Linked DNA regions of Astyanax mexicanus. The protein of the gene in region 3 interacts with the protein of the main gene of each other region in a pairwise test. Links are inferred from orthologs where the notes say so. Each region holds a gene or a part of one and is shown on either strand. Other genes may lie near its edges.

Region 1 (7,119 bases), on a different chromosome or scaffold from region 3:
GGATCTACAACACTGCTACCTATAGGTTAGGGTTTAAACACAACACATACTGAACCTGTGCCTCACACCAACCATAACATCTAAACTCCTAACTAAAAATCGTGTTTTTAAAAATGAATGCAGTATTGCAAAACATACTATCACAACACTTTGATGTATTGGCATTTTCTTACACTCCTTTTGTAAACAGGGCTAGGAAATCCATAGTTCTACTAAATGTCTACTATTTATTTTCCTCTCCTCACTAATAGCTTTAAGCTCTCTCTTTTTATGTTATAGCAAAGTTATTGTTTGCAGTTTTTACACAAACAGACTAAGATGCTCAAAAACAAACTCTAAAAAATGTCTGCACAAAGTGTCTTTAAAATACATTTTAAAGAACACAGTAAACTGTTCACTGGTCTCAGGCATAAGGCATAACAATTAGTATATTAACTTTATTATATTAACATTTGGGGCATTCGAGACATCTGAATCATTTAGGTAGGACTCTTGCCGTATGACTCTTATCGTAGTAGTATGGTTAAGAGGCATGTGCAGCTTTAAAGTCTGGTTCAGCACAGCTGTAAACATTTTTGACATGTTCTTAGATCTTAGAACAGGGCTTTCTTTGTTATTGTCAATGGTCTCCAACCCTCCACCTGAAAAGCTTCCTTTCTGCAGGTTTTAACCTAAATCTAGCACACCCCTTCCAGCCAATAAAGAAGGGGATTGTCAATACAAAGTAAACCTAGTTCAGACTAGCAAAGCTGGCAGTATGGACTTGGCAAATTTGAATTTCTAGTGCAAACCACTAAGAACAGGATGATGCTGTTCATTCATTCAGCAACAGGAAAAGTAGTATACTGTGTAATGATCTTAGAAAACATCAACACACATTTTCATTTAGGCGCTATCTTTATATTTTAACCACCCAATTACCCAATTAAGTCTACACAAAAAGTTGTGTCTAAAAAAAGCTAATGATTTCATTCCATGACACAACAGTAGTAAAATTATAATCTTATATTTAAATTACACACATGGGCAGAGTAAGAAAACATTAGGGCTGCTTACTGGCAATAAATTGTTGTATATGCAGATTAGTATCACAATACAGTTATTTAATTTTAATAGTAATTAAATAATAATAGTACTTAAAAATTGGATGTTATGCAGCAGCGTTCTGCCTTCTGCCTTTTGTTCTGAGAAAGTTCCACTGCTTTCTGTAATAACTACATAACACTGTAGAATACTTTTACCTTCAGCAGTTTAGTACTACATTTTACAATAAACTACTTACTGCAATACTTGAGTTTTTTTTTAATACTTTAGTACTTCTATTTAAGTGTGGTGTTTAAAGAACATCTCTACTTCTACTCAAGTCACTTTTTAGATATAAAGCACTTGTACTGCGTCCCTTGTACCAAAATAAAACCACATACTAACAGTAACTGTCCTAGATCAATGCTGAAAGCAAATAAAATATATATTAGATTAAAATATCTATATATTGTCTAGCACTAGAAAGGCATAATTGCATTATTATGCTATTACATTATTCCAACTACATAAAACGATCTTAGCTGACAATATCATTTGTTGCATTTACTTATGGTACAACATATTGTCCAAAAAAATCACATAATAATAGTAATCATGACAGACCTAAAGATACATTCTGAATATTGTTTGCAGTGTTTGTACTGCAATAAAGCTGCAGATTCTGCAGGGCCTTCACACTCTAACACATCACTTCCCCTCAAGTGGACAGGGGCCTGGGTGAGTGAAGGAGATCAGGGGAAAGTAGGTGAAGCCTGCAGGCTGTCCAGTGCAGAGGTAGCTCCACAAGTTCTGATGAAAGACAGGCTGCATGATTGCATCATCGCTTCACTTCAGTTCACTTCTTCAACTTCACATGCAGCACCATACCATACACACAAAACTACTGGGCTGCTGTATAGTTAGTTAGCTAGCTAGTTAAATAAGAAATGTTAGTGTCAGTTTACTCAGGATAATTTACTAGCAAGTTAGGTTAGATTAAAATGTAAAATGCATAACTTAGCTTAGGTTAGGTAAGTTAAAGGTTTGAAACATCAGCTTCTTGTCATTTGGCACATTTAATACAGTTAAACTGTGGCAATACTGGTGTTGCTATATAGTTAATAGCTAGTTAGATAAGAAATGATAGTATCAGTTTATTCAGGATAACTTTACAGCGAGTTTAAAAGGTAAACTGCATAAGGTTAGCCAAGTTATAAGGTTTGAAACATTAGCTTCTTGTCACTCAGCACATTTAACAAAGTTAAACTGTGGCAATAATGGTGTTGCTATATGGTTGCTAGCTAGTTAGATAAGAAATGATAGTGTCAGTTTATTCAGGATAACTTTACAGCGAGTTTAAAAGGTAAAATGCATACCTTAGCTTAGGCTTGCTAAGTTTTAAGGTTTGAAACATCAGATTTTTGTCACAATTAAAACTGTGACAATAATAGTGTTTTATCCAAAAATATAGACATTTAAGAAAAAACATTTTTTTACATGCTTTGGACAGTTAGCATGCATGCTAGCTAGCTAAACTGGCTACCACGTTCACAAAATAACATTAGCACTAGATAGGAAGCTATTTTAGATAGCGTTAACTATCTAAGCTTCGCTAAATTCACTTTATTTGCCGTCTTGTTTGAAATAAATAGTGTGAAAACACCTACCAGTGCACTCCAGTGACAAACATAGCTAGGGTTAGGTTAGCTGAGCTACACATTAAAGCCCAGCTAGCGTTAGCCAACCGTTAACGCTACCGTTTGTTTGGTGCTACAACCCAAACCAGCGCACGAGCCAACTAGCTACTACATACTGCTCCAAAAATACCCCGCAGCTGTGTCTGTGTGCGTTATTAATGTCCTTTAATAGGAGAACCGAGCTTTATACTCACCCGGGCGAGCTGTCTCAGTGTCAGTGTCAACATCACGGCAGCGCTGAGTGAGTGAGTGAACGAGCGAGCGGCGTCTCGAGGCTCTGCCTGCACACGTTGGTCCCACAAGCCAGCGGTAGTCTAGAGCAACGTGCGCAGGGTGTTCATGGGAATTGTAGTTTTTTTGTAGAAATTGGCCTACAAACCCATAATGCTGCTAAAAGACGCAATTTGCTGTAATTGCTTTTTAATTTGGCATAAATTCATCAGCATTCCTGGAGGTTCTATTTATTTTACTGTTGTGTTTTTGTGAGCTATGGTTAAGTTCAACCATGATTCAACCATAACATCAATGTTGATTCAATGTTGATTTAACATTGAAATGTCAACTGGAATACTAATTCTGTATAAAAGGAAATATGGGATATTCTTCAGAAATTTCCCTTTTTGCAGTATAAACCTTATTGCTATTCTGAAGAAGAAACATTTAAAATAGAAAATCCTGTGGAAATATATAAAGTAAGGAAATTTTTCTGTATACTGTACTTATTTTACTTTGTACTATCAGGTAGTGTATAATTTCTACTGCTTTATTAGGTAATGGCTAATACAGCAAGACAACAATAAACATCAATAAAAATATTTTGAGTAATGAACAATAAGCAATGAATCACCATTTAAGCAAATGTTACCATGCAGAAGTGAGTTTAAACCTATTTAGTTTGTTTGTCTTTGCTGTCTGGCTTCAAAAAGTAAAAAAATAGATTGAAGCCACGTTTACAATAAAATCTCTATATATACATTATAGAAGCACATATTTATGGACATTGGCAAGAATTTCATTCATATATATATATACATATATATATATATATATATATATATATATATATATATATATATATATATATATACATATATACATATATGTATATATATATATATATATATATATATATATATATATATACATGTATATATATATACATGTATATATATATATATATACATATGTATATATATATATATATACATATGTATATATATATATGTATATATATATATATACATATGTATATATATATATATATATATGTATATATATATATATATATATATATATATATACATATATATATATATATATATATATATATATATACATGTATATATATATATATATATATATATATATATATATATAAAATGCTCTTCACCCCTAAACTCTGAATTCTAAAATCCCCCTGCTGAAAATCGATGGCATCAGTAATAGTTTACCTGTTGACAGTGATCCAGACATCTTTCTTCTCCCGTGATGGCATTTCATCTCAAATCTCTTCCAATTATCAAAGTGGCTCCCTGATGCCCGCAAGTCATGTACAATATCATGGCTGTACTGAAGAAGAAACAAAAAAATGTGCTTTTGCAATTTTGGTTTATTCATTCAAATTCAAATTTAAAAAGAGGTAACAGACAACTTGTAGATTAAAAAAGTAAAAAACAAAATCTAATGAACACATTGGTAATTTTAAAACCAAACAAAAATGTTTTAGTTCTTAATCTTAAGACTTAAAATAGTGAGGTGGATTTTTGTGGAGGAGTGAAGCGTAAGTTGCGCTGGGGCTGGATACTTCAACATGACAATGACCCTAAACACTGCTCAAAATCTACTAAAGCTTTCATGCAGAGGAACAAATACAACGTTCTAGAATGATCATCTCAGATCATCTCAGTCCCCAGACCTGAATATTATTGAAAATCTGTGGTGTGATTTAATGCGGGCTGTTCATGCTTAGAAACCATCAAACCTGACTAAACTGGAGATGTTTTGTAAAGAAGAATGATCCAAAACACCTTCAACCAGAAACCAGACTCTCATTAGAAGCTATAGGAAGCATTTGGAGGCTGCTATTTCTGCAAAAAGAGAATTTACTAAATATTGATGTAATTTTCCTGTTGGCGGTCACCAAATTTATGCACCTGCCTAATTTTGTTTGATCTGAACAACCAATGATTTATAAAAGAAAATCATTAAATTATCAGGGGTTCCCAAACCTTTTCATACTACTGTATAAATTAGCCCTGTCAGTACATGAGGGAGCTTTCCCTTGGCCCTGTCACTCACTGGGGGTTATATATTGTATGTTCATTGTTTTGTTTGATTCTTTGTCCTGAAACCACATTTCTGTAAAGCTGTATTGCGACAATATTAATAAATACATATATAAATTTTATATCACAAGCCCTTTCACTGGGTGAATATAGTTGAGCCCCCTCAATTATTTATTTTGCCCCATGTGTTATAATGTTATAACATAATAAGATAATAATGGCCCTGATATAAAGAATAATCCAATTCATATAGACTCATATAGAGTCAAAGAGAAAGTAATACGCTCCGTGGTGCAGTTAAGGATATAGAGTATAGAGTTCTTAATTAATATCAGTTCTACATCAGGGATTCCCAAATTGCTTGTGTCAGTGGTTCAGTAGGCCATTGTGTTCTATGCAGTCAGGCTTTTTACACAGAATAAAAGTAGTCACTTAATAAAAAATGGGGCAAATACCAAGAATTACATATTCAGCCATTAATGCAGTAGATACTGAGAGTTGCAGTTTATCTGTCAGGAATGAGCTCTGCCTGCAACGTTAACATTTAATCAGCATTACTGTACACCTGCACACACACACACACACACACACACACACAAAATGACTTTCTCTGTAATCTAGTAAGGCAGCCAGAAAACACACTTTTAATAATTAATGTAGGCTTTTCAATAGATCATAATCTTCACTGTGAACATCCACAAATTACATGACACCAATCTGACCAGATTTAATAATTTATTTCAGATACATTATTTACACACAATAATTTTTCCAATGTCAAATATACACATTATCAAGCAATACTTTATTCACAGACCTGCAATTTCAGTCCTGATCCAGATAGCCTCTTAGTTTCACAGACTGATCGGTTGTCCAGAAATGAACAAAATTTGATTTTTGGTGCTTTACCGCGCAAACAAAAGAGAATAAAATAAATACGTAGATGAGACGTGACCGTGTCTTGAGTCCAGCGTCAGCAACTCATCAACATCCATTTAGTTTTGCATCTTTAGGCCAGCATACATATGTGATAATTACTTTTAATACTTAAGCTAAATTGATCTGGTTCCTTCATTACATTATATATATAGAGGTAATCATAGAGTTAATTTCTTTCTTTACATACATTACTTTTCACTGGTTACCTACTAGGTATATGGCATATGCATATACAAATCCAAATACATAGTTTAGCAGCTTTATTCACCCCCCGATTTATCCTAATGCCACTTCGTCACTTGGATGCAACCTTCAGAAACATCTAAGGTAATACTGTTGTAAACCAAGGGCTGTAATCCAAGAGCATGCTCTACAATTTAGAATAACAGGAGGAGGATCCAAAATAACAAACAAGAGTTTGTAAAACACTAAACCTGTAATTCTTCACAGCATTGTCTAGGAAAACACATAGAATAGAGAATGCCCTCCATAAATAACAACCATAAATATCGCATAATCTCTCTAAAACAGAGTAACATCTGGGCCACAACTCCTGTTCTGTTGGGAGGAGTTTATAAGTAGCTAAAGATAATGGATATACCTGAAAACTCATATCGTCATATGTTCTGAGTGTATGTTTTTACTATTGTGCAAAACAAATACTATCTCTGTATTCAGCATTTAATGATTTTTGATAGAATTTCATTTTGTAGTTTAGATATAATGATATAATAAAAATTCTTCCATTAAAAGTTAAGAAGGTTTTTTTTCTTCTGTAAAGTTAGCATTTTGAAGATTTAATCCAGAGGTTTTTAAATGACAGTGGTGATCTGCTATACACATTTAAAATGAAGATACTACAAAGATGACTTTACCTCTTTAATTTCCAGGTTTCAAAATTCAAGAATGATTACTGGATTTAAAGTACAGATTTGATGGCCCTAGAAGAACCATTTTAGTTTCATAAAGAACTATTGCAAACAAAATTATAGAGGGCAGTTTTTATGTTTTTAAAATTATTATTATTTTTCCCCAATTTAGAAGGCCAATACCCAGACCACTCTCAAGGTATCCCCCTATCACTATTAATGCGCTTAACACTAGGAGGGTGAAGACCAGCACATGCCTCCTCTGATACATGTGAAGCCAGCCACCATCCCTTTTCAAACTGACTG
Region 2 (7,050 bases), on a different chromosome or scaffold from region 3:
AGAGCCTGTGGGGGGTTTAAAAAAAAAAAAAAAAGATATAAATAAAACTTAGCAAAATTAAACATAATACTTTAATACGACTCAAAGCAGAAGTAGAATGGGTTGATTAAGCTGTGAGTAATGTGAATGGCATGTTTATCCTCCTTGGTATGTTTTATCCTAATTCTTGTGTTTAACAAATTGCCATTTCAAGAAATTGGCACATTCCAGGCAAAGTACGCTGCAGATCAGGATCTGAGACTTCCTGTCTAATCCATCTTAGCTATTTCTAGTGTGACAAAAACAGTACAAATTTTTCTCTCTAAGAACTCTGCTTTTCAGACCTTCAGATCAACAAACACACAGATACACTGAGCCCATGACTGAACAAAGGTCTTTCTTTTTCTTCAGGAACACAAAAAAGAACTGTAGTATCAAACAAAAATGGCTATTATTATCACAAGAAAAAAAAAGGCTTCCAGAAAATGCTTCCTGGCCTTTTCCAAGAAAATGCATCCGCTCTCTTGCACTTCTAAAAATAACAGAGCTACAAAGGCTTTATTGAGAGACAAAACAGAAGAACTGTTTTTTGAAAGTGATGTGATGTAACCTCCAAACTAGTGAAGAATCTTTTCATCAATTTCTTAAAAACTTTAAAAGATTCTTTATACAAAAATGAACAAAATTGGTTCTTAAACACCATCAATAAAATAACCAATTGGAGCACTTGTACTGTTAAGAATGCCATATCGTATTGTATGCAACAATACTGCCAACATTTTTGAATATCGTGAATGACATTGTAGCCTGAAATATCATGCTTTAATTACCCACCCCTAATTAACACATCAGGGTACTAGTTTTTTGCTATTTTTAGCAAAAGAAAAATTCACACTGTTTTTATTTCCCATTATATATCTACTAGAGACAGATTATATCTGTCCAGTATCATTTATTTTACTTTAATCCTGGAGATATGGAAATATATGGAGTGCATTATTAATATCAGGACATTCTGGATCATAAACGTCTGTTTCAATAAAATTCTTGTTTTTTTTTTTTGTCTCAGTTAAGGGTGTGCCATATCATATCGTATGCAATACCATTTATTATTTATTTTATTTATTTTTTTTGCAGTTGAGTATTATTGATTATTTTTTATTCAGTGTTTTGTCATATCGCCAAAAATATCGGTATCACAAAGATACCCTGAAATATCGTGATATTACTTTAGGGCCATATTGCACACACCTACTACACAATATATTGTTTGTTAGGTGCTAAGTGCTATCGATATATTGACCTTTGACCTGCAATATAAATATTTCTTACATTTGTACTGTGTTGTAAAGAGGCCCAAGTTTTACTGGAGGGGTTGTGCATCAAGACGTTTCTATTAAAAACTGAATCAAAATAATGTTTGCTGACACAGATATTCAAATGCAGACGAACAGCTTGTCATCAGATCAGATATCTTGGGGATAAATTTGGGTGGGAAAGTGAGTTTGTGATCAAGAACCACAGTATATCAATCAGTATCTGACCTTACCAATTTGTCTATAGCTGAATGCAATCAAATCCACACAACAATGCTCTAAAATCTATTACAAAGCATTACCTAGACAGAAGAGACAGTTATTCCAACAAAAACAGAAAAACTCTATTTTTAAGACTCTTAATTTCTGAAAAAACAATGAATGACCTTCAATGATCTTGATTTGCATTACATTTATTTTCTGTCTGGCTGCAAATGCAGTAAAGTAAGTAAATACGTTGCCCAGGTTTACCTGAACAACTATTCTGGTTTTCAACAAACACAATCAAATACTGGTTTAAAATTTTTGTCCAGAACTCAGAATTTTGTTAAAATCAAGAAGCATGTGACTGTGAATATCAAGAAGAATGAAGAATGCGAGAATTGTTTTGCAACCCTATGTAAAACCAATATGGCAACCCTATGTAAAACACAGTTAATACTGAACCTGAACTGATCCTTTTGGAGTTGCAGAGCTTTCTGCCCACAGATCTCGAACGCTTCATCCAGGGTTTTGGCCACCTGGGCATGAACTCTCTTTGTCCATAGTCCACTTATGACTATATCTATCTTGATTTGCATTACATTTATTTTACATTTACATGTAAATTTACATTTTATGGCTGCAAATGCAGTACAATAAGTAAAGACGTTGCCCAGCTTTACCTGAAAAACTATTCTGGTATTCTAGAAACACATAATTCAGTACTGGTTTAAAATTTTAGTAAAATTTTATATTTCTAAAACCAGAAACGATTTAACATCAACAAGAATATAATATTGTTTGGCAACCCTATGTGAAACCAATGGCAACCCTATAAACCCAATTAAAACTTAAAAACCTGAACTGATCCTTCTGGCGTTGCTGAGCTTTCTGCCCACAGATCTCGAACACTTCATCCAGGGTTTTGGACACCTGTGCATGAACTCTGTCTTTAGAGTTCAGGTCATCCATGCAGGTCATGAGCATGGTAAGCCTCTGTCGCAGGAGCATCCGGCTGCCTGTGGACTGAGTGCCTGTGCTGTTCACGCTGTCCGAGCGCGGACGGGCCTTGGTGCTGAAATGCTCTGTAATCTCCTCCATACTGTCTCCACCGAATCCAAATTCTCAAGAAGTCTCAATCTTCAACTAATCTTTAAATTAAGATAATGAACAAGACCGTTGTCCACTTAATTAGTATAAAATAAGGATGGTTAAGAAAGTCTCAAGTTCAGCCAAATCAATGAAAGAAAACTGTGAGGAATTTCTCAGCTTTAGTGTCGTGGTAGCTTGTAGCTCACACTCATTCAGAAAAGGCAAAAGTACATGAGCTCTAGTGGGCTGGACTTCAGACTGGCTTAGGGAAGAATTACTGTAGACTCAAATCAGAGCCATGTGAGCACACAAGCTATTCAGGGTGTCTGCAGGTAAGAGGGGATCAAATATGAAACGTTTTAAGACTTTTACTACCACTCGGACTAAATTTAGAGCGCTTTCCCAATGCAAACCATACACTTATTTGTGATTGTGTTTCCTGTTCCCTGACAAACCAATATTTCAAACAAGCATATATTAACAGTTTTTTTTTTTTTTTTTTTACAAAAACGGACCTGCCTGAAAATAGGGTTCAAGTGTGAAGTTGGGATTATGTAACCTCTGCAGTTACACCTACAGTTTACCCATAGCTATAATACAATTTTCACTAGCAACAAGCAATGTGGCTAAAAAAAATAGTGCCCCTCAGGTAAACATATCTGAAAATAGTGCCACTCGGGTAAATGTATCTGAAAATAGTGCCACTCATGTAAATGTATCTGAAAATAGAGCCCCTCAAGTAAATATATCTGAAAATAGCTCCCCTCATGTAAACATACCTGAAAATAGCTCCCCTCAGGTAAACATACCTGAAAATAGCTCCCCTCAGGTAAACATACCTGAAAATAGCTCCCCTCAGGTAAACATACCTGAAAATAGCTCCCCTCAGGTAAATGTATCTGAAAATAGCTCCCCTCAGGTAAATGTATCTGAAAATAGAGCCCCTCAGGTAAACATACCTGAATAGCTCCCCTCAGGTAAACGTATGTGAAAATAGCTCCCCTCAGGTAAACATACCTGAAAATAGCTCCCCTCAGGTAAACATACCTGAAAATAGCTCCCCTCAGGTAAATGTATCTGAAAATAGAGCCCCTCAGGTAAACATACCTGAAAATAGAGCCCCTCAGGTAAACATACCTGAAAATAGAGCCCCTCAGGTAAACATACCTGAAAATAGAGCCCCTCAGGTAAATGTATCTGAAAATCGCTCCCCTCAGGTAAACATACCTGAAAATAGCTCCCCTCAGGTAAACATACTTGAAAATAGCTCCCCTCAGGTAAACATACCTGAAAATAGCTCCCCTCAGGTAAACGTATCTGAAAATAGCTCCCCTCAGGTAAACGTATCTGAAAATAGAGCCCCTCAGGTAAACATACCTGAAAATAGAGCCCCTCAGGTAAACATACCTGAAAATAGAGCCCCTCAGGTAAACATACCTGAAAATAGAGCCCCTCAGGTAAATGTATCTGAAAATAGAGCCCCTCAGGTAAACATACCTGAAAATAGAGCCCCTCAGGTAAATGTATCTGAAAATAGAGCCCCTCAGGTAAATGTATCTGAAAATAGAGCCCCTCAGGTAAACGTATCTGAAAATAGAGCCCCTCAGGTAAACGTATCTGAAAATAGAGCCCCTCAGGTAAATGTATCTGAAAATAGCTCCCCTCAGGTAAGCGTATCTGAAAATAGAGCCCCTCAGGTAAACATACCTGAAAATAGCTCCCCTCAGGTAAACATACCTGAAAATAGCTCCCCTCAGGTAAGCGTATCTGAAAATAGAGCCCCTCAGGTAAACATACCTGAAAATAGAGCCCCTCAGGTAAATGTATCTGAAAATAGTGCCACTCAGGTAAATGTATCTGAAAATAGAGCCCCTCAGGTAAACATACCTAAAAATAGAGCCCCTCAGGTGATCATACCTGAAAATAGTGCCTTTGTGTCCAGAGTTAAAAAAAAAAAAAAAAAAAAAAGTTGAATCAATGTAAATGTTTTTAATCTATTTGTTGTTACTTTATATATTATATATATATTGTACTTTTTTATTTAGCATATTTAAATATTTCTTATATTGGAAGCACAACGTCTGTTCTTAAAAAAAAAAATAATAGTTTTACTGTAAAATGTAATAGTATTATTATGCTAGCTAGTATTTTATGTGGCACATTGTCTTAAAGCTCCTTTGGGATTCCAGATGCAGGAAAAAAGCATTTTCTATAGTGTCCCTTTAAAATGACAAAATTATTGTTTATTGCAATAACTTCTGGGACAATATATCGTCCCGAAAATGTTGTATCGTGACAGGTCTAGTGAACGTAGCTAAAAATAGTGCCCCTTGGGTGAACGTAACTGAAAATAGTGCCCCTCAGGTGAACATACCTTAAAACAGCTGAACATAGCTGAAAATAGCACCCCTCAGGTAAACATACCTAAAAATAGCACCCCTCAGGTAAACAAACGTAAAAATAGCACCCCTCAGGTAAACATACTTAAAAATAGCAACCCTCAGGTGAACATACCTTAAAACAGCTGAACATAGCTGAAAATAGCACCCCTCAGGTAAACAAACGTAAAAATAGCACCCCTCAGGTGAACATACCTAAAAATAGCACCCCTCAGGTAAACATACCTTAAAATAGTGCCCCTCAGGTGAACATACCTGAAAATAGTGGCCCTTGGGTGAACATAGCTAAGCATAGTGCCCCTCAGATAAACATACCTATAAATCACCCCTCAGGGTCCTAAAAAAATGCTTTTTTGTTACATTTACACATCCTCTGCCAACTAAAAGTAACGGACATAGCTAAAAGCAAAGCCTCTTAGAGTCAAAAATAATGCTGTCAGTTCTGATCAGTTTATTTAGCTGTAAAATCAGGAAGCTAACTTAGAGGTTAGGAAATGTCTCTGAAGCTGAGGTCTGACTGTAATCAGAACAATAAAGTGTGATAAAAACTGCTGCTTTACAAGTGACCCCTTTTCCAAACAAAGACCATTCATTCAGCGGTTCAGCCTGACATGTGGTGAGAAACTTAATATCTTACTTTTTGCTTACAAGACTAGCCTTTTCATTCTGTCCAAAGTGAAAGGCTGTACTGTTCACAATGAGGATCTAAAGTGTTAAAACATGATTTTATCTGAGCTTTTTTGCTGCAGAGCACAAAGTGTGTGTATATCTCACACTGCCATGTTTTGAGCATAATACTAAACCAGTCAAACAGAAAGACAGAAATAAAAAAGGTGACCTGAATGAGTCCAGTTTTTGGTCCAGACTGATGGAGTTCAGGGCATTGGACAAGGCCTCCTCCTGCTCCATCTTCACACCTGTCAAACACACACACACACACACACACGCAGAATTACTGAATTATAAAACCAAAAACAAAGCCAAACAGCAAATATATTACATTACGCATTATATACAATAAACCACTGCTACTACTTAAAAATAAAAGTTTAATTGCTCTCAATTCTTAGGTTTACTTTATCAATACACAAAATATTCATAATATTTAGATCCAGAAATATTGCAAATAATCTGTTAATTTGTTAACAAAATGTACTAATCTTATCCAAAATACATAACTCTTAATTTCACATAAAATTTTTGACTTAAGAATGCTACTGTTGCTTAATACATAGTCATGGTTGTAACATGGTTGATGAAACAAATTTGTCATATATTGAAAGTAATTTTATCATTATCAGTGATACAAAATTATACTCTAAAATTAAGATGCCTCAACTGTCAAATAGAAAGTATTCAGGAATATTCTAACAAAAAATTGAAATGGATAGAAAAAAATAAATTGGCTTATTAGAAAAAATAAACCAATGAAAAATAAACATCTGGTCCACACAAATGATCACCATAGTCTTTATTACAATCAAATTTATATTTATATCTTTTCATACTGTAATGTAGCTTGATATATAGTAAAATTAGTACTAGTCTTCACAAAATTAGCAATCAGCATGTATTTAACTTATCAATCTTCCTAAATTTCTGACATGCAAAGGGTCAATTTTCAAAAACATTTAGGGGTGAAATGAGATTTCCCATTTGGCAAAAAATGCATTAAAATTATGCACGTGGCACATGTATTATATGCATACACATCCACAGGTTTTGCATTATATGTAATATTAATGTAATGTAATGAATGTATGTTTGAGGGAAGTTAACTAATGTCTAAAGATGAGGTCTGTTGTGTAGCAATCTACAAGCAATGAAACTGTATGATTATTTAGAGATAAAGACAGACATAGAGAGAGAGAGAGAGAGAGACAAGAGAGAGAGAGAGAGAGAGAGAGAGAGAGAGAGAGAGAGAGAGAGAGAGAGAGAGAGAGACAGGGAATTTTTAATTGACAGTAAAGTAAAAAACTTCATGTAAAATATAAGAGAAGTGTAAAATGCCATTATCCACGGTACAGAGAGAATCATTAAAACCCCCCACATCTTCAAAACCA
Region 3 (7,017 bases):
GTAGATTTTATCTATAATTCTGTTCAAAAACCTAGAGGCCTATACAACACATTCTAATTGCAGTGTGTGGGCGTGGTGGAGTTGGCAGTGTGAACTGTGTCTTATCTGTTAACTCACATGAAAAGCACTGTGGTGGCACCCATCAGCACACCGGGGAACCATGGCTTCTCCCACCGCAGGAACTGGTCCCCGGCCAAAATGACCTCCCCCCATCCTTGAAGCTGCTCCTCGAGTTGCGCAGTCTCCTGGGCCTATATTACATACAACATTTACAGTCAACAACAGAACAGAAAACAGTCTGTTCACATAGGAGGGATGAGCACGATCTGTCTTATGCAGGTAGTGATGCCATATGACAGTACTGTTTTTTAGGTATAGCATGTAAAATAGGGATAAATAACAGGCATTACATCCCCAAAAACATTCTGTCCTGTTCCATGGATGGGCAGTGCCCAGTGCCATGATTGCAACAACACACAGTAGAATGTAGCATATCCTTTCAGGTCACTGAAAGCTTGAATACATGTATTTTAACCTGAATATCTTCAGATACAGCCGTAGATGAATGTAATGTCAGTAAAGTGCCATATAACCTAATTTAAACTGGGTAAATAATAATAATAAAATAATATTTTTACTAGCATACATCCCACTCTGCAAATGAACTACTGCACTATGAAAGAGAGAGATTGAGTGTAAATCCTGTCAACAGAAAACACCAATACTAACACTAATAAGCACAAAGACAGCCAATCAGGATCTTTGTATTACACCCTCACTGTCACTCACTAGCTCTGTCTTAAAATCACAGGAGTCACAAGTGAGGTGGGATGAATCATTTCTATAATATCAAAATTAATAAGGCTAACAAATAAATGTTTCCGTGGTGCTATGATATCACAAAATTCTTTGGTCTTACAAGGCTGATATGAGCCCTCTCCAGACGTGATTAGTTTCTCATGGGGTCCTGGGGTCATTTTCTCATTTATGGGGGTCCTCTGTGATTATAATCCCGTCCAGAACGACCATGTATGTGTTTTTGTCAGACATCCTTTGAAAAACTTACAGGCTGAACTACCTACTGTTTTTCGCTGAACTCTGTGGTTGTCTGTTAATTTTATTTCTGTCTGGACGCCATTTCTGAATTTCTTCACCTCGCGTTTAATAAAATAGCTATTTGTCCACTGCAACAAACTGGATTACACTTTAGGTGCATGTTTCAATGGACAGCCATGTAAAAACACAACAGCGAGTGGAAATTGAGGAGCTACTGATCACAATGTAATGTGACCGAAAAAGACAAAAAAAACTCACTGGTCCTCCTGTTTTTCAATAGCAGTCCGGATGCAAGAGTTTTATCACTGAATAAAAGTGTGAAATATTTTTCACAAACGTCCCCCTGAGAAACTAATCCCATCCGGATAGGGCTATGGCTTGATTCCATTGTTTTTTAATGATTTTTAAATAGCATGTTAAAATTAAGCAGAAAACATTTTACAACGTTCTATTATTTATCAATTGGCAAGAACACCATAAGCAAAAAAAATAACAGTGTAAATCATCCACATAAAAAAATCACGATACATCAATACAGGCAATATCTGGTCCAGACTTCAGGTACATACTGCAGAAGCTAGGCCTGTGCCAAACAGAGCCTGGATGCCCAGTCCCGCCCTAAGCCCAAGATAGCTACTATATAGGTCATGAAATAATTAGTCTAAAACTTAAATCATTACTGATTTATACCTACTTAGATTATCTTGTACTTAAACTTGCTTTAGAATGAGGCCTAAAAAAACAGACCTCTTATAGCTTGCTGGCTAACTAGCTATTTCTTTGACTCAGCTGTAGGTTATTTAACCTACAGCTCTGTAAAATTGTATATGTTTAACAGTAAGGCTGCTAGCTAACTATATTAGATAATTGTGATTCACTATAACCCGACAATAAAGTGAGATTCGTGTAGGAAACTACTCCCAAATTAAAGACTACGCAGCTTTAGATATACTTAAATGTCCCGTTCCACCTTAAATTATGCAGTACTTTTATTGAGGCGCTTGTAGAGGCTTGAGCATCTAGTTAACTGCAGCTACATTTAAGGTGGAAATGAAATGTCAACTGATAGAGGTGGTGTCAGTTTAAAACGCGTCGTAGCTAGCGTTAACTAGCTAATAACTCTAATTCCTCGTTACTCGCTAAATGTACATTTGTGGTCGACATAGCTGAGCTAGCGTTATATGGCTATTATCTTATCACGGAACAAGGGTTTGGTTCATGTGTTCACTGAGCAATAATAGGGGAAGTGGGGACACACCTAACCTAACTAGCTAGTTAGCTAGTTGACTAACTGGCTAATAAAGCTTGACTATAGCTTTTAACAGCAGGCAGGAATAATTGTATTTTTCATATCAAATATCCTGTATATAGCAAACATATCAGACCATTATCAGTTATTTGGATTAAAAAGTCTTCTTCTCTTTAGCTTTTCTCTCAAATTCTCCAGCATCCGTGCTCACTATAACATTAACCAGCGAACGCTAGCTAATTTACAGTTAGCTAACCTAGTAACCTCAATAATTCTAAGCTAAACTAAGCTAATAATAAAACAGGAGAACACACTTAAACTACTATATATTTTACATCAGTAATTTAGCCAGCTAAGTTAGCTTGCTGCTTGGCTAACCTAAGCTAGCTCGCTGGCTATCAAAGTGACAGGACTAGCGCAGCTAGCTGGAGTTAGCTATACGAGCGGCTAGCCCTCCCCGCTGTAAACAGTCCGCGCTAAGCTAACCGGCTAATTAGTTAGTTTTTTCCCTTTATACTCGTTTCCACACTGTAGAGTAAATAAACCGGAACACCTACCAGCTGATTAGAGCTTTTATTGTCGCCCTCTGCCATGGTGTCCATGTGTGTGTGTTTGTGAATTCACCGGGCTAGCAGAAGTAACCGCCTCACTGGAGAAATGCGCAGCTCACTGGCAGCTAACGGTTACAAGCAGGATGTTTTTATCTCAAACTCGAGCGCAAAGCTTCATGGGAAATGTGGTTTTCAAATACAAAAGATAAAGAAAGAATAAAAGTTTTTTATAATTAATTCAAAAACCGAAATGGTTACGTTGTTACACACGACATTCCAAAAGCATAACTAATGCATGTCAAAATATAGAGAAGTGTTTCAAACTTTCTTTCTTGATATTTTAGGGAAATCATCTCAAAATAATAATTTTTTTCTAAAATGACTTACTTTCTTGATATTTTAGGGGAATTATCTTTTTTTTTAATAATTACTACTTGATATTTTAGGAAAATCATATCAAAATATATTTTTCTCAAAATAATGACTTACTTTCTTAATATTTTAGGGAAATCATTTACAAATGTATTTTTTCTCAAAATAATAAGTTACTTTCTTGATATTTTAGGGAACTCACCTTATTTTGACTTGTTATTTTAGGGAAATCATCTCAAAATAATGTTTTTATTTTCAAAATATTTACTTACTTTCCTGATATTTTAGGGAAATCATCTCAAAATAATATTTTTTCTCAAAATGACTAGCACCCCAAAATAAAGAAATGACAGTACTTAAAAATAATGACAATTTAATAATTAAACAATATTTAAAGAGACAAAGAAGGCATATCATATTCAGCTGGTGATACAAGATTTTAGTGCTGTGTATAAGATCTAGAACACCTTTAAGAGAACTTTGATGGTAAGACAGGCAAATTAAAACACCATCTTGACTGTTTTGAAAATTCAGAATGTCTTTAGTCCCTTGAAGAAGATAGAGAAAAAGTCTAAAGGTTGTGATGTCACTGAAACCAAAGGTTATTTTATTATTATTATTATTATTTTTTTTTTTTTTTACAGAGTAGGGTTATCCAAAGTTGACAAGATGAGCAGGGAATTTGTGGACAGGATTAAATAGCTAAATGTTAAGCTAAATGAATATTTGAAAATGCCTAAACTTCCAATTACAACAAAAAAACTGTATAAAATAGTTATAATAGAATATAAATATAAAATATAAAATAGGGGTGACCTGCAATAGTCGCTGATTTGATTATTTGATTCGGAGGACCTCTATTCGACTATTAACCTCATAGTCGAATGTACTATTCTGACTGCATGGGGGTGCCCAAGGCTGCTAAGCATTAGTTGTTATAGGAAATGTCTTTGTTTTTTGTAATATATTGCCTTTTGTCAAATAAAATCGTACTAATTTCTGTTATTTGTTTTTAATTACGTGTGCGCATTAACAAAAAGGCTTCTTACACATTAATATATCACCCCCTGCAGTTGCACAATCCAAATGAGCGGAGCTGAACACGCTACAGGGCTGTCAGCGTCTGCCGGTGTATTTGCTTTAAGAAGCTCTCCTCTCTCTCTGATGCGCAAAGAGAAGAGGCGTGTTCAGCGGTAGCAGAATTAGCCGAGAGTCTCACTGACAGATCATCCCTGGAGAAAAGTGACATGGTGGTGGATGCTGGGCCGACTGTGCCCAGACATAAAGACACAGTGATGTCTATGCTGCTGGTCAGTGATGAGGATGAGGAGGACCAGGCGGAGGATGAAAACAGTGAGATGAAGGCTTATACAAAAGACTTTGATCAATAAAATACTAAAAATATTTAAAATGAATAAAAAATAATTAATATAAAATAAAAACTCATTTAAAACACAATCAAAGGCTATCTAATAGTGCGCAGAATAATATCGGTTTCAGTTAGTTTCAGTTTAAAATAACTGAAACAGCTCCCCAAAACCTCAACCTATCCTTTATATTTGACAATATTTTATTAACTTTACAGGTCCTCACTCATCTTAATTTATTTTACTAAACTGAGTTTTTATATTATTAAAGCCTCGCGCTGAATTCAGCTCGTCGCGGCGCATTTTGCCTGATTTCTCTTGATTAAACACAATAAATATGTGAATTTAATACCTTTTAATACCATATATTTTAATTCACTTGATAGGACCTTATTTATTAAAACGTTTTTTTTAATCGCTATGCCGCGCGCGCTTTTCTTATGACTGACGCTAAACTGTTTGATCCAGCTGTTATATTATATCATCTTATATTAATACCATTTTAACGTTTTTCGTTTCTGTGTTTTGAAATTCGTTAGATTATATTTTTGTCAACATTTTGGGTTTATTTTCGTTTGTTATTTTTCTAATAATAATAGAAATTACATAATTTATTTTTTGTAATTTTTTTTGTATACTTTTTTTGCACAGTGCCTGTCTAACAAAGTTAGCCAACACATTTCCCAACTTGTGTTTTAGTTTTTTTCCTTTGAAGTGAAAAAAAGTCCAGAAGAGAATGGGGATCCCTTTTATGGTGCTATAGGGAAAAAAATGATTCGACTATTAGTTGACTAAAGGGAAAATCTGACGAATCAGATTCGACTATAAAAATCTTTAGTTGAAGACACCTCTAATAAAATGTACAAAATGTACTTCACAGTCAAGATGAACATATAATCTATATTTGTAACAATATGTTTGTGATTATTCATAGTAAATCTTAAACAATCTATTTTTACAGTGTTTAAATTAAATTTAAAACTATGCTGCAGACACAAAAGGCATGTTATATTCATATTCACCCATACCTCCTAGGGGTGTCACGATTCTCTAAATCCTCGATTTGATTTTATTTCCGATTTTATGGTCACGATTTCATGCGATTCTCTCTTTTTTTTTTCGTACAGCAGAGAGGCCTATGCCAGTTTTAGATTAGTCTATGGTCAGCCATTGGTTTGATTAATCAAATTTACAATATTTCAAAAGGTGGGCTTGATATAAATGATGCAAAGTGATACAAGTGATCTGTAATAAACCACATTAGGCACTAATGGTCAAATTAAAATAATTTAATTAAGATATATATGTAATGCCATGTAGTGGCTTTTTTGGTAGCAGCAGTGTGCACTTTTAAAACAGCAAATGTGCAACTTAACAAAATAAATAATAAAAAATACAGGAACAGTCATGTACAAAATAATAGAACAATTAGAGCCTTTACAAACTGAACTCTATCCTACTATAACAGTTAAACATGAAAAATAAGACTAAGACTTTTTCAGTCCCTGAGAATGACAAGTTTTTTTCTTTAACAAAGATATATTATTAACTTTATCTGAGAGACAGATGCTCCTTAAGGTACCAAAACTATTAACATATTTGAGACTAGACAAAACAACTGTTATTTTTATATTTTCAAGTTTTTCTTTAAGAAGATGAGAATGTCCACATTCTCTGGAGAAAGGGCTGCTCTTTGAGCAGTCACAATGTCCGGCGGCGTCGGCTACAGTGTGCTGCGCCATTTGCGTAGCTCGCGTAGCTTAGAGGGAGGGATCGTCGATGCTCTTTTTGACTTCAAGGCTCGAGACCATGACACAATTTCGATCGATTTCGACGAAATATCAAAATTGTGACACCCCTAATACCTCCAATATCATTCCTAAGGGGAAAAAGATGTTTTACTTATTATTGCAACGTCCTAAGAATGTATGACAACTGTAGCAACTTGAATCTTGTGTTTAACTTAAAACTTCCAATAACATCAAAAGGTACATCTTGCATATCATAAAACTAGTGGTGTCAATCAATTAAACAAATAATGAAAATCACATCAGAATTATGTGATCATGACTAAGCACTTTCTTTCTTGAGACTTCTTTTTAATGTGCATTTAAAAATGTGAATAAAGAATCAGTGTTAGAAACACATATTTGCATTATTGGTGTCTTAAAATCCCTTTCTATTAATCACAACAATATTCTGTGATTAAACATGACTACATTTAAGCAATTTTTGAGAAGAGGACAGTAATAATGTTGTAGTGTGGTTTACATTTGGCAGACTAGTTATATATATATATATATATACACTGCTCAAAAAAATAAAGGGAACACTCAAATAACACATCCTAGATCTGAATGAATGAAATATTCTCATTGAATACTTTGTTCTGTACAAAGTTGAATGTGCTGACAACAAAATC
Region 4 (7,357 bases), on a different chromosome or scaffold from region 3:
CATTTATGCACTTCCATCACCCCTAAAAAACAAGATGATATTATCTTATAATCAAGTCATAGCAATGATATAACTTCCTGAAGGAAATGTATGATGGATGTATGATGGACCCCGATCGCTAAGATCATTACGGTATTGTTAGGTGGTTGTTATTCTATCCCAGGTGGTTGCTTTGTTGTTACTAACTGGTTGCTAAAGTGATGCAGAAGTCTTTTTTGTGTGGTGGTTGCTATGGTGTTCTTTTAGATTTTCTGCCCTGGGGCTTTTAATTTGAAACCAAAAATGGATAAATAGCCTATCGGCTAACTATTGAATTTGTTGTGATTGTACTGGATCTTTTTTGGAGTTACTGCTTTTTCTTTATTTGTGAGAGAGAAAGAGGCCATGTCTCCACTGTTTTACTCCCAGTATCCCATAATTCACAGTGACAGGGCAATAACTTGGGATTTGATCTGACAAAAAGACAACGCAAGACCCTAAAACACAGTGGCTCTCAAGTGGAGTGGGAGTGTGTTTGAGGATAGAGAGTCAAACATACAGATTTATACAAAGAAGGTTATGGTTAAATTGTTGTGTTACTGTGAATAATCAAAATATATAAGATAAGAAAGATAAAATGTATTATTTCCACATTTTACACAAAATGAATGTACAATTGTTACATTTTTGGTAAACAAAAAAAAATCTCTCAGAACATTACAATAACTGATGTGGTGCACTACTAGGGCCAGATAAAATCTTTTTTTTAGCAAATTTGGTGATTTAATTTTCTGTTTTTTTCATCACATTTAGGATTTTTACTATTTGAATAGTGTTGTCAGGCAATTAAAATAATGAATCCAAGTACTGTGGTTGCTAAGGTGTTGCTACATTGATGCAAAGGAGTTGCTATGGTATCTGTGGTGATTTCTAGGGTGCTGTTAGGTGGTTGCTATGTGGTTGCTACATGGTTGCTAAGTGGTTGGTAGGTGTTTTGCTATGGTGCTATGGTGCTATGGTGCTAAGGAGTTGCTATGGTATCTGTGATGATTTCCAGGGTGCTGTTAGGTGATTCCTAGGTGGTTGCTACATGGTTACTAAGTGGTTGGTAGTCTTGCTATGGTGTTGATAAGTGTCCATGGTGATTGCTGTGGTGTTGCTAGGTGATTGCCAAGGTGTTGTTAAGTGGTGGATGATGAATGCATAGCTAACATGGCTCATATGATCGTTAAGATTGTTAAGGTGTTGTAAGGTGGTTGCTGTGGTATCCCCAGTGGTTGATATGTTGTTGCTAACTGGTTGCTAAGGTAATGTAATGAAATTTGTGATGGTTGCTATGAGGTTGCTAAATGGTTGTTAGGTGGCTGTTAAGGAGTTGCTATGGTATCAGTGGTGATTGCTACGGTGTTGCTAGGAGGTTGCTAGGGTGTTGATTAGTGGTTGCTACATGGTTGCTAAAGACTTGCTTTGGTATCTGTGGTGATTGCTAGGGTGCTGTTAGGTGGCTGCTATATGGTTGCTGGTTAAATTGTTGTTTTACTGTGAATAATAATTTTTTATAGAAGATTTTCCACAAGATTATTGTATAATTGTTCATTTATTGTAAAATTTTAGAGCTAAAAAAAGAAAATAAAGGAGCAGAATGCAAAGCTTTGGGCACATGAGAGATTTGAGCTCTCAGGCTACTTTTACTGAAAGGCTTAATTAGCTGGCTAGGGCTGTGGCTTGTTCACAGGTGATGTCAATTACAACAATCAGCAGCCATGAGCTCCTCTAAGTAGCTGCAACTCTCCAGCACTAAGAACATACCCTATAAGGCTAAGAACAAATTCTTGGCTATTCCTAAGAGCTTGGGTTTGGAATGGTTTTAAGGGTGCATTAAAAAAAGGACGCAGCTGATGTATCCTTTCTTGCAGCCTTTGGTTATGCACAGTTCTCCGCACATATGCACTGCAATGCAAAGGGAAAAATGGCTGTTCTGTGTGTGTACTGTGTGGCTCTGACACACAGCCTAGCAAAGCTATTTTTAAGTAGTCGTTTCCTAAGTTTTAAGTTAAGGCCTGGAGGAAGACTTCAGGAAGATTGATCAGGCTCTGGACTATGATCACCAAAATGTCATAAAAAAAAAGGCTTTACTGTGTCTTCATCACTACAAAGTTCAGCACCTGAGGTTCTTAAAGGAGCATCTAAACAAGCCTGATGAATTTTGGAAGCAACTGGAAGAAGGTAAAACATCTAACTTTTAACATTCTGCAAAACATGGGTGCAAAAAGTGTGTTCTAACAAAGCTTTTATGTAAAAAAAATAAAAACAGTTATGTTTCATGTTACTTACCAATAATGTTAAATGTTACATATTAAATTTACAATATCCATGCCTGGAAATATCGTAATAATATCGTAATACAATTTAAAATACCCCTAAAATAGATCATACCTTGTTATCTCTTGCTTCACTAATATTTTTAGTCACCTGGCTTGCTTCTTCATTAACATTGTAACTGTCACTAAATAAAAGTAGATGCTACCTAGCTTTTTTACATATACTTGCTAATTGCCATCAGTAAATTTACAATTCCACTTTAAATACTGCTGTCCTGACAGACAAGCTTTTGGCTTGTAGGCACTTTGAAATAAACATCTTTGGCTTTTAAGGTGGAACAGATCATGCAAATAAGAATCCAGGTTTAGGTTTATATGGACTGTTTGTCATTTCTGCACATAATGTAAGCAGAAATGTATAAAAAAAGTCTTAAAGTATATAAAACATATACTACAGGTCAATATCATGCATGCACCATTTTAAGGTGGAAGGGAAATATATTTTAAGGTGGAAAGGACAATGTGAATAATATATTGAAACTGAGTGTTGCTCCCATATATGAGTACTTCTACAGTTAATTCAGATAACCATGCAGTGAATCTCAATACACTGATGTTTAAACATAACAGTTAATGTTCAGATTCTTTTACATTTTATTATTTAGATTGTTTTGTGTGGGCTATGCCTTTAATGTAGCAATGTACTGTGTAGTGGTATGTGCTTAAAAAGCTGTTGATTTTGCTGTATAATATATATTCTTTAGGACCCCTGACTTTAATAACATTGCATTACATTACATTTAGCGGACTCTTTATCCAAAGCGACTTACAAATAATGATGTACATTTAGCAACAGATGACATAGAAGTTCAATACAAACAAAACATTTTAGGCAGGGCCTAAAGGAGGCCAAATGGAAATAGAGGGGTATAGGAGGAAAGGAGGGAAGGAAGGAAACTGGTTTTCCTTTATATAGTGAAGAAAAACCTGACCCCAATTATCATTATCATATATATCATAAATAGTATATCATGCATATATACAGCTCTGGAAAATAAGAGACCATTTAAAAATGATGAGGTTCTTTGATTTTACCAATTGAAAACCTCTGGAAAATAAAGAGGAAGATGGATGATCACAAGCCATCAAACTTAGCTGAACTGCTTGAATTTTTGCACCAGGAGTGGTATAAAGTTATCTAAAAGCAGTGTAAGACTGGTGAAGGAGAACATGCCACAATGCATTAAAAACGGTGACTAAAAAAACAGGGTTATTCCACCAAATATTGATTTCTGAACTCTTAAAACTTTATGAATATGAGCTTGGTTTTTTTTTGCATTATTTGAGGTCTGAAAGCTCTGCATCTTTTTTTGTTATTTCAGCCATTTCTCATTTTCTGCAAATAAAAGCTCTGAATGATAATATTTTTATTTGTAATTTAGGAGGAATGTTGTTCGTAGATTAGAGAATAAGAGGTCTCTTCATTTTTTTTCCAAAGCTGTATATATACATATATATTGCAATGCACACTCTTAGATGTTGCTCTCCCACCATTTATTTCCTTAAAGGGCTTTTTTTTAGGCTTTCTGCGCATTATTCACGCAGCTGCAGAGAAATACCCGCATATCTGTAGACGCAAAACCAGCAGAGCTCTGCTTTCACCAGCATAACAGAGAGAGAGGATTTGGGTTCCACCCTAACCCTCTACCCCCCAACCCCACCCCCCTACTCAACGCCCCCCATCCAGCCCCCCATCCCACCAACCTACTTGCCTACCCACCCCAAAATTATATACACACACATGCACACATATTTATATATTTATGTACTTTGACCATCTTGAGCTAAAATTGCGCACAGGCGCGAGCTAAGCCGTGCGCCACGAGGGCTCCAGGAGGGGCCAGGAACTGTCACGCACGACTCGGGGACGCAGAGCGGGTCGTCACGAGAAGTGAATCATGCTGGAATTTGTGTGCGTGGGTGTGGGGGGTGGGGGGAGAAGTGGGAGGGTAGGTACGGGGTTCTAACATTAGTGCACCGTTAGTGCGTCCTACTTTTTTCCCTCCACGCACGCTGGATTATGATGCGACCTGCAAAAAAATAAATTAAGCAAAGCCTTAATCCGGCTCGCGGGCGCGCAAACTCGCACTCTCTCCCGCTCTCTCTCTTTCTCCCCACCTCCCCGCACAGCTCGTGCGCGCTCGTGCAAGGGTCTCTCCGGCAGCACCTCTCTGGAAGCATGCAGTGACCGGAGAGCTGCGCAGCTCCACCGTCGCGTGCGCGAGAGGCGGCGGCGTGCATGCGCTGCGTAATAAAAAAGGCAAGGCGAGAAAGGGCGCACCGGTGGCGCGTGTGGACTTTTATTGCGCAGCGCCGGGATTGGGAAAAAGAAAAGCACGCTCACTTCGCTTCTGTGCGTCAGATTTGTTTTGCATGCACGCGCGCTCGCGTACGCAGCTGCGCTTTTTACAGCAGCAACAGCATCAGCAACACCAGCATCCAACATCCAGCGAGGACCTGAGCGGAGCTTCCCGCGCCGTTCCCCCCTTTTCTCCCCTCCTCTCCCCCTTTATTTGTCCTCTTCCCTCCCTCCATCACCCCTGGATGGGCTCGGTTTATCTTTCCTAGCCGCAGACAGCGTCGTTTTCGCGCCATGGCTTCGCACGGCTTTTGGTCTCTGGGCGCCCAGAACGCGGGAGACAACAACAGCGGCTCGAGCACGCGTGAGTACAGCGGAGGCTAATTTTTAGCTAATGATTTATAACAAAAAAATAAAAATATATATAATAAGGATCCAAAACAGGAAGCATAAAGGCTTAAAATGCTTAAAACAGCGCTAAAGCGTTTATTTCGTGTTTTATTCGTTTTTTAAGGTGTTTAAATTGTTTAAAGAGTTTTTAAATACGTCCCTTATTTTTTCGACCAGAAATAACGTTAGTTACTACGTTTCTTACAATCTAAAATTCAGATTTTAATATTTTTGTATCTATTTTTCTCGTTCGCTTTAGCTCGGGCTTGGTGCCAAGCGGCGGCCCAAAAATTCGGAGGAGGCATCGGCTCGAAATTATGTGGTAAGATCATTTATTTATCACCAAAAAGAGGCGCTAATCTTTATTATAAGACTATATAAAATAGTAGTGACATTTTTATTGTGGTTCTTATATATATTTAGTGTATTTATAGGCCTACATCACAAATTTAAATATTTATATATCAAATTGTGAAGAAAAAAAAGTATATAAAATAAAATAATATAATGTAACGTTAATTTGAAGCGCTGCTGAATGTCGGGGAGATGGAGAAGGGCGCAGACCCCTCTGCAGCTAAACAGGGAGAAGACCCTCTGGCGGAGAGCTGCAGCTGCAGTGATAAACCATGCATCTGCTCCAAAGCCACGGTGGGCTTCTCTCACCTCTATTCAACAGGTAAACATTATTCTGGGATGTATTATTATTTTCCTTTTTCTTTTTCGTTTTTTGGATGCAGCCGGATTAGCCAAGCTAACCTACACATCACGCAAGGTCATGGCCATATCTAGCGAAATTATTATTAAGCTTTATGTATAGTGCAACATTTGTCTGTTTTAATGTATATTTATTTGGGGGTTTTATTTTGTATTTATTTCTGTGTTTATGTGTGTATTTATTATTTACTAATTTCCCCGTCATTTTCTGTAAAAAGTGCCTGTTTTTCCTTTGAAAAAAAAAAACAAGAATATATTTATATTTTCTATATATATGTATTTATATATATTCTAAAAAGGAAGTCAACATTATATACACAGAACGTAGCATACATCTTAAAGTACAGTGCATGTGTGTATGTGTGTGCTCTCGCGTGCGTGTCTGTGTGTGTGTGTGTGAATGCGCGCGTGTGTGTGCGTGTCTGCGTGCGTGCGGGTGTGTGTCTAGAAATAGATATGTATTAATAATAATGTATAATAATGTATAAAGCCTACCAACTAAATGCATGCATGTGTGTTTTATTTTTTTTCATTCGCGTTATAATGGGGCTCCTGTTGTTTAAATGTTTCATTTATTTATGCATTTGTTTTATATTTATGTCTTACTGGTAATTATTAATGATTAACGATCATTAATACGTGATTAGATGTACAGTTTAAGAAAGAAAATGATTGTAAATTATATGTTTTTTTTTTTAACTGATATGAGATTTTTTGGGTTTGTTTTTTATAAATCCTGATGATTTGGGATTTTTTGGTAAAGCATTATTCATTTATTTGACTTATTTGATTTATTTAAAACCAAAACTGATTTTGCTAAAACTGAGATTGCCGTTTATCATTAATTCAACACATTTCGCCGATGTTCTTTTCTGATGGTATTTATTATCATATAATAATCGTTATAATAATCTGGGTTCGGTACAGACCTGCTCCCCGCGCTGGACGGCGATATGAAGACGATGAATTTCCTGCAGGAGGTGGTGGATATATTGCTGGCCTACATCGTGGAGTCTTTCGATCGATCCACCAAGGTGATCGATTTCCACTATCCGAACGAGCTGCTCCAGCGGAACAACTGGGAGCTCTCGGACGAACCGGAAACCCTGGATGATATTCTGATCAGCTGCCGAGCCACCTTAAAATACGCCATTAAAACCGGTAGGAGAAATGCTGGAAGCCCTTTTTATATTTTATATACTGTATATATATATATATATATCGTATAGCCTATTTGTAGAATTATTGATTTATATTATTCCTTTCAGAGCTGAATTATGTTCCAGTGATTCATACTAAAATATAGATTATTTGTATTTTTGTTAATTGCAGTGTAATCATTTGTGTAGCATTCTCGTTTGTATTTCATATAAATTTTATTTAGCTTTTTTTTTATTCAAAAATCATCCCAAAGCGGTAAAAAGAACTCAACATGATTATTTGATTTTGTGCAATGCAGTGGGCGGGGCTAAGCTGCTGTTTGATTGGCTGATAAATGTTAATTCTGTTGGACAACAGGCCTCAGTGTGTAATAAGTGCAAAAATACACAAGAAATAAGAAAACCGATTTTCTCAATTGCAATGGACGCAAGGT

Evidence for each region.
Region 1: the proteins of arl6ip1 (region 3) and shmt2 interact in binary tests that used the Homo sapiens proteins (3 or more experiments, as listed by UniProt). The two-hybrid records come from large-scale screens. The link is inferred for Astyanax mexicanus from reciprocal best matches to the Homo sapiens genes ARL6IP1 and SHMT2.
Region 2: the proteins of arl6ip1 (region 3) and inpp5ka interact in binary tests that used the Homo sapiens proteins (3 or more experiments, as listed by UniProt). The link is inferred for Astyanax mexicanus from reciprocal best matches to the Homo sapiens genes ARL6IP1 and INPP5K.
Region 4: the proteins of arl6ip1 (region 3) and gad2 interact in binary tests that used the Homo sapiens proteins (3 or more experiments, as listed by UniProt). The two-hybrid records come from large-scale screens. The link is inferred for Astyanax mexicanus from reciprocal best matches to the Homo sapiens genes ARL6IP1 and GAD2.

The regions. Positions count from the first base shown.
Region 1 is NC_064412.1:9,782,309-9,789,427, reverse strand, and holds the start of shmt2 (serine hydroxymethyltransferase, mitochondrial), read right to left. Parts: upstream 3,024-7,119; 5' UTR 2,948-3,023; coding exon 2,915-2,947; intron 1-2,914. UniProt on the Homo sapiens protein: Catalyzes the cleavage of serine to glycine accompanied with the production of 5,10-methylenetetrahydrofolate, an essential intermediate for purine biosynthesis.
Region 2 is NC_064425.1:30,527,511-30,534,560, forward strand, and holds the start of inpp5ka (inositol polyphosphate 5-phosphatase Ka), read right to left. Parts: upstream 3,020-7,050; 5' UTR 2,598-3,019; coding exon 2,356-2,597; intron 6-2,355; coding exon 1-5. UniProt on the Homo sapiens protein: Inositol 5-phosphatase which acts on inositol 1,4,5-trisphosphate, inositol 1,3,4,5-tetrakisphosphate, phosphatidylinositol 4,5-bisphosphate and phosphatidylinositol 3,4,5-trisphosphate.
Region 3 is NC_064426.1:19,378,844-19,385,860, forward strand, and holds the start of arl6ip1 (ADP-ribosylation factor-like protein 6-interacting protein 1), read right to left. Parts: upstream 3,015-7,017; 5' UTR 2,908-3,014; coding exon 2,863-2,907; intron 252-2,862; coding exon 118-251; intron 1-117. UniProt on the Homo sapiens protein: Positively regulates SLC1A1/EAAC1-mediated glutamate transport by increasing its affinity for glutamate in a PKC activity-dependent manner.
Region 4 is NC_064413.1:51,300,828-51,308,184, reverse strand, and holds the start of gad2 (glutamate decarboxylase 2), read left to right. Parts: upstream 1-4,330; 5' UTR 4,331-4,953; coding exon 4,954-5,023; intron 5,024-5,308; coding exon 5,309-5,371; intron 5,372-5,575; coding exon 5,576-5,725; intron 5,726-6,690; coding exon 6,691-6,924; intron 6,925-7,357. UniProt on the Homo sapiens protein: Catalyzes the production of GABA.